Elephas maximus indicus: one gene and its partner. The protein of the gene in region 2 purifies or fractionates together with the protein of the main gene of each other region. This does not show direct contact. Links are inferred from orthologs where the notes say so. Each region holds a gene or a part of one and is shown on either strand. Other genes may lie near its edges.

The links.
Region 1: the proteins of RPL13 (region 2) and CTCF purify together in Homo sapiens (affinity purification with mass spectrometry; 3 studies listed by BioGRID and IntAct, with this or other methods). This does not show direct contact. The link is inferred for Elephas maximus indicus from reciprocal best matches to the Homo sapiens genes RPL13 and CTCF.

What each region holds. Positions count from the first base shown.
Region 1 is NC_064839.1:34,059,456-34,066,935, reverse strand, and holds the start of CTCF (transcriptional repressor CTCF), read right to left. Parts: upstream 3,169-7,480; 5' UTR 2,961-3,168; intron 1,874-2,960; exon of another isoform or gene 1,790-1,873; intron 1-1,789.
Region 2 is NC_064839.1:54,753,052-54,760,597, reverse strand, and holds RPL13 (60S ribosomal protein L13), read right to left. Parts: upstream 3,083-7,546; 5' UTR 2,978-3,082; intron 2,688-2,977; 5' UTR 2,674-2,687; coding exon 2,570-2,673; intron 2,527-2,569; exon of another isoform or gene 2,452-2,526; intron 2,262-2,451; coding exon 2,120-2,261; intron 2,062-2,119; exon of another isoform or gene 1,977-2,061; intron 1,925-1,976; coding exon 1,751-1,924; intron 1,056-1,750; coding exon 999-1,055; intron 645-998; coding exon 486-644; 3' UTR 447-485; downstream 1-446. Other genes in the region: SPG7 (paraplegin), read right to left, coding at 7,473-7,546. UniProt on the Homo sapiens protein: Component of the ribosome, a large ribonucleoprotein complex responsible for the synthesis of proteins in the cell.

The DNA of each region.
Region 1 (7,480 bases), about 21 Mb from region 2:
TGCAATGGGTAAAGTAATATTCTCAAAAAAAAAAAAAAAAATACGGTATACAAAGTTACACATTCAATTGAGAACCATGGTCTTCAAGTTATACGTTATTTACCATTATTGTTCTTTCTAAACCTGTATATTCTTTTTCAATGTCTTAAACTGTGACAAATCTTAGTTGTTTGAAAAGAGATTTAATTTTTGGCAAAACAGTCTGAAGTCACTTGAACCCAAAATAAATAAGGTAGAAAAATGGCCAAGTTACATTTCTGATTTTTAAAAAATGAGATGCAGCTATTAAGTAACGAACTTGATGTAGATTGGCTTCAATGCCAGCAGCATTCCTGAAGAAAGAAACCTTGCTCTTGTGGTGACTTTCTGCCAGCAGGCATTTCTGTCCAAAGCTCTGCCACAGCACTCCTCCCTAGGGCCCCAGTCAGCCACAGGTGGCCTCTGCCACACCCAAGGAACTCCCCAAACCATGAGAGAAGTCCCAGGTGGATACCCTCATTTTTGTATGTCCTTTAAAACAAAAACTGAACACTCAATTCTTAGAATTTGGATGGCCCTTAAGGGTAACTTTTACAGGTCCTAAGTTTTCTTATGTAGGTTAAATGGATTCCTATGGGTAACTTTTACAACTGCTCTTAAGTAAGCAATATTTTTTTACATAGGCAGACATTCCTGTTGTAACCTTCCTCATACTACTGATTTAAATAGTAAATTCCTTTGGGTTACCTCATATTCTCAATTTATTCTCTCTGTAGATTTAGTTTTCCAATAAAAACAGAGCATCAAGAATCTCAAAGGATGACAACTGTGTGGACAAGGTGCATGGTTTATACCATTTACACCATTAAGACAGTATAAATGTGTAAGATCAGGAAGACGATGACTGCACACGGGACAACCGAAGAGAGGAGCCAAGTGTGGTCTGCGCGGTGGAGCAGAACGCTAATCTAGGAATGCTTTACTCCTGGGTCAACTAAAGACTTTGTGGATTTTAATTTTTTTTTACCCATATGCAGAGCTCATTTTAATAAAATAAGCCATAGGCCCTCACAGTTTCAAAAGAAAAATAAAACCGAGAACCATAAAACACAAAAAATTGTACAAATGGATTAAGACATTAGACAATTAGAGGTGGTTCTATTCCCGAGTCCAACACTCCACCAAAATTACTGGCACGTAGTTACTTAGCGTTGATTTTATTGAGAGGCAGGACCATTTTCTATGGTTGTAAAAAGAGATGCTGAAATACTCTTCTACAGAGGCAGACTGCTGCAAAACCTACAGATTAAGATTACATACAGTGGACCCAATGAATTTGTTTAGCACCGGCCTGTTTTAATTTCCTCATAAGCTTAACAGTTTTTCTTCCTAATAAAAAAAAGTTAATCTAGACTTTCTTCTCTCCAAAGTCACCCAAGTTAATACATCAGCTGCTGCACAGCACTATAGTAAGTTACTAAAATAAAAAAAAAACGCAAAAAGAGAAAACATAGGTTGTTCAACAGGAAGTTTTGAAAGATGCAAGACTTAAAAACAAAGTAAGTTTAAATACATGCCCTGTTGAATTTCTTTTTCCGCCCACAGGGACGCGGAATTTTAGCTTTCCTAATTGATCTAAACTCAAAGCAAGCATGAAAACACATATATGTGTATGTTTACTTAATGCCGATCTCAGACCTACAAGAAGTTAACTACTAACAGGCATAGATATTTATAAACCATCTGCACCGAGTGACCCAGGATTCAATTACAACATCAACCCTCATATTTCAGCGTATGGGCAAATTACCAGTCCAGTCAAGAATAAATTCATTCTGCTCTACTGGCGCTTTAGATCGAGTTGCACAATCCCAGGACAGAACTGCTTTCGCCCAGCCCTAGAGCATCAGGTACTAAGTGGTGTACAGTAAATTAACATCAAGACATTTTAAAGCGGGAGCCAAACTTAGGGGTTGCTTGAACTTAGCCCGTACTCGCGAATTCAGGAATTTGTCACTGTCACTTGAGATCAGAGTGAAATTAAGTTCCAATCCCTTTGAGATCTCTTAGCGCACAAAGTCAGGCTGCTATCACTCTAAGGAGCTATTTGGTGCGGAACTCGCGCGCGTCTTTTCCAGCCACCATGGGGCCGCACCCGCTGAGTCGCGCGAGGAGCCCCGGCGCGAGTTTGGGGGCTCAGCGGGGCCCAGCGGGGGCGGCGAGCGCGCGTCCCCCCGCCCGCTCAGGCGGCGTTGAGGCGCGAGCAGCTCAGCCAGCCTTGCAGAGGGAGCTCTCGGCAGCGCTGGGGCCCCTCTGCTCGCAGCCGCAGCAGCGCCGCCTGCGCCACTCGGCGGAGACGGAGACAAGCGGCGACGGCGTGCAGACTGGGAGCGACCGCCCAGCAGCCAAGCGGCGGGGGACGCACACAGGCGGCCCGGTAGGCTCCGGGGACCCGGCGGGCGGAAGGATGGGCAACCCGGAACGCGTCGGCCAGGGTCTGACACCCATACTGGACGGAGATCCGACTGCGCGCATGGTGGTAGCGGTCCGGACCCTTGGGCGAGGCGGTTGCGGAAGCCAGGGCGAAGAGGTCGCTTCTCGGTTGGGGCCACCCGTCGCGGGAGGGGCGGAGGACACAGGGCGGGCCGCGGCCGGGCAATCGGCCGGGCCAAGAGCCGGCCTCGAGGGCAGAGACAAAGGAAGGAAAATGGAGTCGCCGGGCGCGCGGGCCTCGGTCGCCGCCACCGCCCGAGGCCTATCGCGCCGCCAGGAGGGAGGCCCAGCGGGCGGGCGAGGGGGGGCAGGCCGGGCCGCGGCGACGGGCAATGGCGGCGGCCGCGCCGCAGCAGGGACGGTAGAGGGAGACAAACACCCCCCGGCGGCGGCGCTGGCGCCGGGCTGCAGCCAGCGCCGACCGGAGCGGCCCCATCGTGACACCTAGAGGCGGCCCGCGAAACCTCCTCCACCCCGGGCCCCCTTACCTCCGCGCCACACCCCCCGCGGCGCCCGCTCCGCCGCCGCTCCCCCGCTCCGGCCACCCGGCGTCCCCGGCCAGCTCCGCGCGTCTGCACCGGCCACCGCCACCGTCGCTGCCGCCAAAGAAGCAGCTCCGCGCACGGTTTAATCGCTCCACAGGCTCGGACACAAAATGGCGGCGGCGCGGTGAAGTGCGCCTGCGTCGGCGCTGCCGGGGCCGCGGGTGCTGATAAGGGAAGGGACGGGTGGGGGGGCCGGCCGGGCGGCGAGGGGAAGGCGGGGGAGGAAAGGTGAGGGGAGGGGTTGGCGCGGGGCAGCATGGGAGGCGGCCCCGGGCGCCAACTTTCAAAACCCGGCGCGATGGCGTCACGGGACGCGCCCGGAGTCGCGTCACGCCGCACGCGCCCTCCCGCGCCCTCGCCCGTCACGCGTGGGCCCTGTGGGCGTCGTGCCATCCGGGTCCTGCTGGGCGGGGCTTTTTGGGGCCCAGGCCGCAACTTTTGGGCTGTCCCGGGTCCCCGGCGCTCTTGACCTGGTTTCCTGGCTGCAGCCTCCAGCACCCGGAACCCCGGGAGATTTGCGGGGGCGGGGAAGGGAAAGCTGTAGGAAGCGCGCGCGAGGCCGAACCGTGAGGCTGAGGCGGCTCCTGGGCCCAGCCCCGCCCCAGTCCCCGCCTAGCCGGGCCGAACCCGGCCTCCGAACGCCGTGTCGTGGGCTGCCACGGAGAAAGGCTCAGCTTGTCCCAGCGCGCTCCCATCTCCCCAGCCTGGATCCAGCACCTGAAAACGGCGAAGGAGGGCTGTCCTTGCCCAGCGACATTTGGTTTACTTTTTCCGCCCTAGAGGAGGGCCTCCTGAAACCAGGTGCGAGAGAGGAGGGTGAAGACCTCCACTCGGTGACCCACAGCCCACCTCAGCCCAGAGAGGCCAGCTTAAGACCAGACTTGAGGATTTTACAAGACCAGAGCGGTCCGTCTTTTGCTGAAAGGATATTTTGTGTATTCGGTGCAGTGTAATTTTGTATTTTAAAACGTGGATTTCTGTCTTTGCCTATGAGCTTCTAAGTTGTCTGTGGGCGGAGTCCTTCAGCACTGAATAGTGTGGCCGCCTCCCCTTTCCCCAGCTTGCACTTGTGGACCTTAAGCGGCCAGCGAAAATGTTGACTGAGGACTGCCTGGAAGGTGTTCCGGTGTCTTCGTGAGAAGATCCCTTTAGTGCTTCTGAGAATCTGACTCAGGACTGTATTGTCAACCCCCTTACCTAGATATCACGGATAACAAATGGACTCAGCGTCAAGGGGGCAGCATTTGCTCCACTCAGTCGATTGTTCCGTTATGATAATGCCGGCCCAGTATTGACAAGTCCTCTGGTTTCTTTCAAGAGACCCAGGCATATGGTTTTTTAAATATAATTCTCCAGGTTTTCAGATGGTCATGGTGGTGCATTGGTTAAGCTCTGGGCTGCTACCGGAACTGCCAGCTGCTCTGCAGCAGAAAAGACCTGGCCTCTCCAGTAAAGACTTCACCTAGAAAACCCTTTGGGGCAGTTCTGCCCTGTCCTGTAGGGTGCTATGAATTGTAATCAGATCGATGGCAAACAACTAAAGTAGATGTTTTTAAACTACATGATATTAAAGCACACATCTGAGCTGTCAATTTCTGGTCTCTGACTTCAAGATCATCTCGGGCACTCCAGTATTTAGAGATAGGTTAATGGAGGACACAGAGTGATCAACCAGGAAGGTAGAAGGAAATCCATGATAGTGTTGAGTTGTGGAATCCAAAGGCAGAGAGGGTTTCAGGAAGGAGAGGAATGGTCAGTTGTGTTTAGTGTTACTGAGAGGTCTGGTAAACTTGGGCCAGAGATATGGCTAATGAATTGGTCACTTTGGAGGTCACTGGAGGATATTGATGGCCTTGGCTAGATTAGCTTTGGTAAATTGGAAGGTGGACCTGACTAAAGTGGGTTGAAAAGTGAATGGGAAAGTGAAGAAATAGAGACAGCACATATAAGCAACTTAAGACAAGTTTTTTTGTCAAAGGGAACAGAGAAATTTGGGGATAACTGTAGAAGGACATGGGCCAAGGGAGAGAATGCTTTAATAGATAGTAGAGTTCTAGAGTGTGATTGTGTGCTGTGGAGAGGGTGATGGTGATGGGTGATGCAGAAAAGAGAAGATTTGACAGTAGGAGTGAAATCCATGAAAGATATGAGCAAACAGGGTTCATAGCACCTGAAGAGGATTGACCTTGGATAGGAACAAGGATGCTTTTACCATGATAATAAGGTGACAAAAGTGAAGAGGCTTGCCAGTGCAGGGGAGAGGGAAAGCAAGTTTACTGTGTAAACCTAGCAGGACTGCCTTGGCATTGGGTACCGATTTGAGGTTTGTGATCATGAGTTTAAAGTTAAACCACTTGACCCAGTTGTGTGGTTTTCCTCCAGCAGCATTCAACTGCTTGAGAACAGGCATGAAGAAAAGAGATATGGTTTTTTAACACAAGTACAGTACCCAGGTACTTGCTTTATGCAATTAGATGCTCTTCTAGAAATGTGTCAAGTCTTTAGAAAATTAACATGTGACTCCTATCTTTCTAGAAACCAAATTATACTATTTGTCTTTTATGTTCACATTAAGACTTAACTATAATGAAAAGACAAACTTAGAGAAAAATTACCGGGTAACTCTGGGATATTTGCATTTTGCATTTCTTCACCCCCCCGCACCCCCACCCCAAATAGTTCCTGGTATAATTAGGAATAGCAAAGCTGACTTCCTCTAAATTGTTAGCTTCTTTTTTTTTTTTTTTTTATTAACTTTTATTGAGCTTCAAGTGAACGTTTACAAATCAAGTCAGTCTGTCACATATAAGTTCATATACATCTTACTCCTTACTCCCACTTGCTCTCCCCCTAATGAGTCAGCCTGTTAGCCTCTTTTGGGCATCATTAATAATCTATTCACTATCTTTTAGAACTTTATCTCAAACCATTATTATCTTCCTATCTTTAAGAGTAAGCTACATCCACATTGTATGTTAGTTTGTTGTAGACAGCATATAGTTGGGTCTTTTTTTTTTTTTTTAATCCACTGTCAATTTCTGTTTAATTGGTGAATTTGGGCTTTTTTATTTAGTGTAATTGTTGATATGTTAGAGCTTAAGTCTTCCATTTTGTTTTTTGTTTCCTGTTCCTTGTTTTCTGTTTTATTTTTCCTATCTTTCTGTGGGTTACTAAAACATTTTTTAGACTTCCATTTTAATTTACATATAGTGCTTGGAGTGCATCTCTTTGTATAATTACAGGAACATCTTCTAAACTTTTAGTGTGAGCAAATATAAGATGATGTATTCAGGGGGAAGAATGTCATCTGTATTTACAACTACATGACCTGTGAGTTACCAGTTAGAAGCAAGAAATGGGGTCCAGGTGGCCTTGGAGTCTGCTTTCTGAAGACAAAGACTCCATTGGCCACTGTGGCACAAGGATGAGAAAATGCTGAGGATCACTAGGAAGGAACCAAAGGAAATGCTTTCTTCTTGTAGGAAGTCATGGTGTGTCTTACTTCGTGGTATTAGCTACATGGGGATCTCTAGATGGGAAACTCCAGAGATCTGGTTACTTATTTAACTTAAATGTTTAATATTACCAGCTCTGGATGCTGGAGTCATTGTTCTGGATTCAGGTCCTGTCTTGGTGCCTTGTTAGCTTTGTGGTGTCAGGTGAATTATCAACTACCCAGCTGTAGGTTTCTCCTCTAAAAAAGCATGATAATTGTACAACTTCACGTAATGGTAAGGATTAAATGAGAAAATGCAAGTAAAGCTTTTGGCATAGTTCTAGGCACCAGTAATCATACAGTAATGTAAACTGTTATAATTTATTTTATTTTTGTGCTTCAATTACCTACTTTTCACTCCTAGCTCTGCCTTCTGATTGAACATAGGCTTTCTAGGTTTATTAGTAGAATCAGTTAAGTTACTGACTAGGGTTTCTCTGACCTGGTGCCTCTTCTTTCTGGGAAAGGCATACTTGGTGCTATGATTCTCAGAGATCTCTTGCCAAGATCTTCCTTGGCTCCCACTGTTGCCCTCTTTAAAGCTTGCAATAATTGTGATCATTTATATGTTTTGAACTGTTTAAGCAAGATAATTGATAAATGGAGGATGTGTTTATTTTCTACATAACAATGGGGTAAGGCCTAAAGTTAGACCTGAACGCTCCTGCTGCCTCTGTGCTTATTGGAGGACACGTGTAAGACGTGATCAATTCAGCAACCATTTATTGAGTACATGCTGTGTGCAGCTCCCTCTGCTAGGCATTGGGAATACAAAGAGGGCCCACGGTGTGTTTCCAGACCTTGAACTCAAAGTTTAACTGGTAAAACTGGTAGAAAAAAATGAGAAACCATTAATGTGATTGTTGTTATAATGGAAAGAAATACATTGTTGTGGACTCACAATGTGGACTCAAAAGTCATTCTCCATGGGTGTATCATTGAGCTGCATCTTAAAGGAGCGGAAGGC
Region 2 (7,546 bases):
CAGATGACAGGTGCCGGGTCCATGGGACTTACTGTACTACCACCTGACAGGTTCACACCACCAGGCTTGTGGTTCCCCACGTCATTTCCTAGGACCATAGTGACCACACTACTGAGATGGAGGAACAATGACAGGTAGTATCTGAGCACCTCACACATTGTGTGATCCTGCCTGGGACACAAGCTGGCCACCCACACAACCCCCAGTGGCTCCAGTATACCAGCAGCCTTGAGGTCACCCCAAGTCCTTGGATGCCAAGTAGATTAGAAATTACTCTGGTTAAAAAAGTGATGTTACTTAATGACCTCTCCATAAAGCAAGCTGCCGTTCTGCACATCTCCAGGCTGTACCAAAGCCCTTCATCTCCTGCGCAGCCTGGACCCATGGTGCTGAAGCACTGTTCAAGGCCCAGTGCCCAGCTGGCCACTCACACACTGAAGACACCACGTGTTTCACTGCTTTTATTAAAGGTCTCTGACAGAGGTTTACTTTTTCTTCTCCACATCCTGCTCTGCAGCCTCCTTGGCCCTCTTTGCACGGATCCCAAAGAGCCGGGCGTTGGCGCGGGCCATGCGGAGACTGGCAAATGCCTTGAAGTCTTTCTCTTCCTGTGTGATGGCCCGGGCTTTCTCCTTCTTGTAGACCTGAAGGAGAGTGGAGTTGGAGCCATCAGCTGAGCCACCGCACCCCAACAAGTAAGGGCCAAGCTTGCTGGAGTCCGGTGAGGGACACCACGGGGGACCTAAGCAACAACGAGGTGACACTGAGGCTGCCAAGAAAAGGGCTGACAATGACCCTCCACAGGATCTAACGGTTTCCCTGCATTTGTGGGTTTCTGTTTACTAACTGCTTTTAAGAGAATCAAGAATTAAAAACAGAAACTCTGACCACAAGCTAAAGAAACCATCTCAGATCTGTTTGGAGTGTCCTAGCTGGAGGCAAGCATTGCTACACATACAGCAGCAGGACTGACTGAACAAACAAATCTGTCCACTTACATTTCGTATGGGCATCACCGGTCCAGTCAGCTGAGTGGCCAGTTTGAGTTCCTCAGCCTGTTTATTTAAGACAAAAAAGATTCTGGGGCTCAGTCTCCCTGAGGAATCCAGGCTCCCACTACAAGTCAACATGGTATGTGAGCTGTGTGATATCCGTTTTAACCCACAATAGATAAGATACACTCATCTCACCCTGCAAACCAGCGGCCTGGCATGTGAACTGGGGTGCAAGTGAGAGCCAAGTATCTACTTGAGCTCAAAGCCTTTCCCCAACCCAATGCTAGAAACTTCAGAAATAACAGTAACTCCCATACAATAAATGTTATTAACCTTATCCTACAAGGCCTGTCTAAGAATATGTTTCCCACATAAAGCATTTTAGACTGACACGAGCTTCCACTGAAATAAGCAAACTACTCCAAGACAAACAGCTTTTACTGTGACCAAGAAATGGAAAACGATCAGTCAGAAGGGCAGTTGGCCTGGGCAGTTGTACTGCTGAAAATGAGAATTCTACGGGGCCAACTTCACAAGTCACTCAACTCTTGACCACCCACATATGAGGCCCAAATGCCTAAAGTTTGGAAGGTAAAAAAAAACACATTTTCTTCTCATCCCAGCCAGACAAAACACAGATTTCTTTTTATTTGATTTGGATCTCTCTACTGGCCCTGACCAGGCCCCCTGAGCATCCTGTAACACCCTCTTGCTATACTACCCACCCCCCAGTGGTGCCAGTACAGGATACTCACAGAGCTGTCTCCCTTCTTGGGGGCGGAGGGCTTCCGGGGGAAGAGGATGAGCTTGGAGCGGTACTCCTTCAGCCGCTGCACGTTGGCTTGAAGGGACTCGGTGGACTTATTCCGCCTCCGCGGGTCCACGGAGATCCCAATGGTCCGGGCCACCTTTTTGTGGATACCAGCCACCTGCTCCAGAAACAGAAGGTGAAGCTCCACGGGCTCTCAGGCCTCCAGGCCCGCACAGTAGCGCTCGGTCGTCAGATGGAAAAGGGTTCAAATGAGCTTTCATCAAAGCAGTACAGCGATTCCGGAGACTGTCATCACGTGAACGAGCTACCATCACAGATAACTTCATAATGATACAATTTTGTGGACACTCACCCTCAGCTCTTCCAAACTGAAACCCCTGCCAGCTCGGACTTTGGTGTGATAACGGACTGTGGGACACCGAACTATGGGCCGGATAGGTCCGGATGCAGGGCGAGGAGCGATGCGGCGTGCTTTGGCTTGTCGGGCCTTGCGTCTGGTGAGAGAGAAAGCAGGCAACAGTTACCTTCACCTCAGGGAGGCCCTCCCCTCGGTCGAAGCCTGCTATTAACTCCAATCAGTTCCTTCCCAACTCCTGCTTACCATCAACCACATTACTGCAGTGTTAGTACTTCCACCTTAAGACAAAACCCCCAAAAGCTCAAGCAGGGCTCAGCAGAACTCTGAATAAAAAGTCCACGATCATCAGGTGGAAAAGACTTTTCATCAAAGCAGTACAGCGATTCCGGAGAATGTCATCACGTGACCGTGTGCCCCCGGTGCTCGTGCGCCTGGGACCCTCACCTGCGGATCTTCCGCGCTGGCTGGTTGAACCACGTGGCCACACGCCGCTGCCAGTCCTTGTGGAAGTGAGGCTTCAAGATCATGCCATTCCGGCTGGGCGCCATGGCTGCCTATGGCCCTGGGCCCCACGGAGAAGGAGGGACCAGGTTAAGGGCCGGGCTCCTGCCGGACCGGACGCCGCTGCCCACCACCTGGCCGCCCCGCCCGCCGCACCCCCAGGTCTCGGCCGGGGTCTCCTCCCCGGGCTCCCGGCGGTGCCTCCGAAGGCCAGGCCGCGGCCCGACGCCCTCTGCGGCAGACAGGAGCACTTGGTCTGGCCCTCCATGGCCACAGCAGCAGCGGCCCCACACCGATGGCAGTGGATGGAATCGGATGGGGCCCGATGGCGACGCGCTACAGCCCACCTACCTCCTCAAAGCGGAACGGCCGATCAGAAAGGAAGCGGGGGCGCAAAGCACCCTGGGATGTAGTGGGCCTAGCCTATCAGAAGCGCCGAAGCATCCTGACCCATCGCAGCCAAGAGCGACGGAAGTGACGTCACCGCGCGCCCAAGACCCTTTGTAAACATGGCTCCCGCCTCAGTAGCTGGGCATCAGTGCTGGTTCTTGATTGTCCGGCTGGGAAAGCCCAGGAGCGTGGCTGTTTGCCGAGCCGACCTGCTGGGCTTCTGTCGTCGCTTTGCTCTTTGCAGCTGCGGGAACGCCCGACGGCGCTTCAGCCAGTTAGCAATGCGTCGTGCCTGGGACCCTCACCTGCGGATCTTCCGCGCCAGCTGGTTGAACTATGTGGCCACGCGCCGCTGCGAGACCTTCTAGAAGTGGGACTTCAAGATTATGCCATTCCAGGTGGGCGTCATGGGTGCCTATGGCCCTGGTCCCCACGGAGAGGAAGGAGCCAGGCTCCGGACGGACCGGGCGCCGCTGCCCACCATCTGGCCGCCCCGCCCGCCGCGCCCCTACATCTCTGCTCGGGGTCTCCTCCCTGGGCCGCCCCGCCGCTCCTCCGAAGGCCTGCGAATTCGTGCCACTGTCCCCCTGTGTGCGGAACAAAACGGGGCGATTCCTGCATTTGTAAAGTTAATTACGCGAATAAAAGTGCAGCCATCGTAGGAGATAAAGGGAAAAAGTGGCGGTTTGAACTCAGGGAACTCACGGTTAGGATTCTGGGAATTTCACTGTTTTGCATGTTTATGGGACACGGTGGTTGAGGGGCGCAAAGGCAGGCAGGCTTTAAGGAAATGTGGATTCTCGTTGCAGTCTATTTCCCCTCCCATCCATTTGGAACATTCACGGCCCCTTTTTAAAGCAAAATCAATACTTACTAATTACTATACGCTAGGCACGCAGAACAGTACTTACACACTTTAACATTTACTCCTCACATCCACCTCATGTCGTAGGGGCTACTGTTGGCCGTTGACCCCACTTTCCAAATGAGGCAACTTGGCAAAGGTATTAGGTAACTTATCTGAGGCCATGCAACTAGTAGTAAGGGGGACTGGTAGTAAAAATCTAAGTGAGCAATTCCAAAGGCCATACTCTCATTCACTGTGCAAGCTAACTCCCTTTGCAGAGATAAACATCGTGAAAAAATATTAAGTAGCCAGTCACCTGTTCCCAGTCAACATACCCTGTTCATCTGTCCCCCAGGACAAGGCAACATCCAACAGTACACCTTTATATCCCCAAAACTCTTTCTTCCCACCCTCACCCCACTCACAGGCATCTTGCTCGTAAAACTCTATCGGCAGTTGTGACACTCAATGAGATATTTGAAGGCCTGTGTCCTGCACTGAATAAGTTGCTGATAAAGTTTCCTGCTTTATTGAGAAACCTGTGGGTGTTAGAAAACTAAGGTTGAATAACAAGTTTATGATCAGGAAAACGGAACATGTAAAAAGAGCAAAAACGTGCGATAGCTACGACGGTCTGTCAGGCAAATTCATTGAGCCTACATGGAAAGTACAAACCCTGGCTCTGCTGCTTAATAGATGTGTACCCTTATGAAGCCAGGGCCCTATCTGCCTTGCTTGCTGCACAGCACACAGCTGTGAGCAAACGAAATGCCATAAATGGAACCACTTTTTAGTAAACTTTGAAGTGGTATCTATCTGTGAAGTTAGAGTGATGTTTAAGAATATGGTCCATACCACTAAGAACTCGAGAAATAGTTTAAACAGAAGAGAATATTCTTTTATGGTTGGGAGAGGAGTTTTCACTAATTATAGAGTAGATAAGAACTATTTTAGGTGAAGGGAAAGACAACACACAATACAGGAGAGGTCAGCACAACTGGACTAAACCAAAAGCAGTTTCCTGAATAAATTGAGCACTTCGAAGGCCAGCGTAGCAGGGGTCGGGGTTTGGGGACCATGGTTTCAGGGGACATCTAAGTCAATTGGCATAATATCATCTATTAAGAAAACATTCTGTATCCCACTTTGGAGAGTGGTGTCTGGAGGTCTTAAATGCTAGCAAGTGGCCATCTAAGATGCATCAATTGGTCTCAACCCACTTGGAGCAAAGGAGCATGAAGAACACCAAAGACACAGCATGATTATGAGCCCAAGAGACTACATCAGCCTGAGACCAGAAGAACTAGATGGTGCCCGGCTACAACTGATGACTGCACTGACAGGGAACACAAAGAACCTCTGAGGGAGTAGGACAGCAGTGGGATGCAGACCTCAAATTCTCATAAAAAGACCAGACTTAATGGTCTGAGACTAGAAGGACCCCGGAGGTCATGGTTCCCAGACATTCTGTTAGCCCAAGACAGGAACCATTCTTGAAGCTAACTCTTCAGACAGGGATTGGACTGGACTATGGGATAGACAATGATACTGGTGAAGAATGAGCTTCTTGGATCAAGTAGACACATGAGACTATGTTGGCATCTCCTGTTCTGAAGGGGAAATGAGAGGGTAGGGATGGGCAGAAGCTGGCCGAATGGACACAAAAAGAGAGTGGAGGGAAGGCGTGTGCTGTCTCATTAGGGGGAGAGCAATTAGGAGTATACGGCAAGGTGTTTATAACTTTTTGTATGAGAGTCTGACTTGATTTTGTAACCTTTCACTTAAAGCACAATAAAAATTTAAAAAAAGAATATAGTCTGTGGAGTTGTCTTGGGTTCTACCTTTGTACTAGTTCTGAGACTTTGGGCAAGTTTATTAAAGTTATTTAAGCTTTTCCCATCTGAGAAGTGGGAGCAGCTGCTGTGAGGACTACACGTACCAGGACACGGCACAGTGCCCAGGGTAGGAGAAGTCAGCGACGGTGGTGGTTAATGTCACATGGCTCCACCAGCGCTGTGTAGCCTTCACCACAGCAGAGAAGGAAGAAGGGAATTATTACCCAGGGGTTACCTCTCTACTTAATCCTCAGACACCTCGGGAGGGAGGGATTATCATCCTCATTCCGCCAATAATCTGTACTCTGGAGTTGGGGTTTGAACCCCCACCTACTCCACACTGGCAGCATATAGTATAGACTAACTTGGGAAAACATTTGTAGGTTAAATGTTGCTTTAACCCACGACAGATTTCTATGAACTAAATCAATTAATATGTCTGCCCCAACTTCCCTCTCCCAGGCCCCTTTCACTGCTCTCACAACGAAATGCCTTGTTTTTTTTATCTCTAGGACATTCCTATCCCTGTCCCCATTTTCACCTCTAGGATAGACCTGCTGCTCCACCCAAGCTCCAGCTGCCCTTCATTAAGAGCTGCTGAGAGACTGGTGGCAGTAGGCCATTTGAGCCCTGCTCAGAATCCAGCAAGCTGTGTGACAGCCAAGCTGTAATCTGAGGACCTGGCTTGTTGTGCACAACCCAGATGGACATGGGGTACAATTTTTCCATGCCTGACTGCTCCATACTTCCTTCGAGAAGTATGCAAAACAGAGGCAGAAAACGTCTGGTATGAAATTGTGCTGCCTGCACACTCAGCTTTCCCAGGTGGAAGGGTTGAAGAAAGAAGCAGTTATGAGGAGTCCTTCTGAAATGAAGACTTGGCTGGCTCAAGGGTTTTAAAACATCTCTAGTTATACGGACAGTCCCTGTCCCCCTTGGCACAGGACTCTGCAAACCTCACCGTGCCTATGGCTTTTATCCCAGGTTTGTGCCTGCAAGGCCCCTGAAGGGCTAGTTAATGCCGCTGAACGCAGTGCTCAACCAAGTAGGGTCTGGGAATTCCTGGACAACACCGTGGAGGGACAGGGTGGTGGTATTGTATACAGGTCCCAGTGAGGGGGGTGTATGCACGTCCCTGGGAGAGGGTGTTGTACATGTGCCACTTTGGTAGGGGGTTTTACATGGGTCCCTGTGGAGGGCAGAGGGTTGTACACGGGTCCTCATGTTGAGGGGTGGTGTACATGAGTTGGAGCTGGCCATGTGGCACAGAGCTAGGCCCTCCATATACAGAATTTATTATTAGCATCACAACCATTCTCAGGGGTCACCATACCACTTGGATGACCCAGAAGGAAAGCTAGCTCAACCTGCACCCTGTGATCAGCAGTAGGTGGCAGTATGTGAATGTTGTAAAGCAGGGCCCAGCAGGGGGGAAAGGGGACAGACGGTCGGCCCGCAGAGCTGTGGAGGCCCTGAGGTCAGCAGTGCCTTATGTGGAAAGCGAGAATGTCTGTGAACTCCTGGCATTTGAGGACTGCTCTACACTATACTTGTCACACGCACCAAAATCCTCCCCACGAGGGAAATGACACACAAATGCAAAATTAAACCACTCGTCTCTGCAAAGAAGTTTACTAATTGCACAGGGAAATGGAGAATGAGCCTCGGACCCCTCAGCAGAGACATCAAGGCCTGACAAAGGAGGACAGGCCTCAGGGAAGTCCGGTCCCCAGTGCCAGAGGACATGCGAACCCCAAATGATCAAAGGCTCAGACTACTTGGGCCAGGAGGGCTCTTTGTCAGGCTCCTCTCCACGGAGCGGGGGCTGCTGTGCAGCCTCCTCATCCC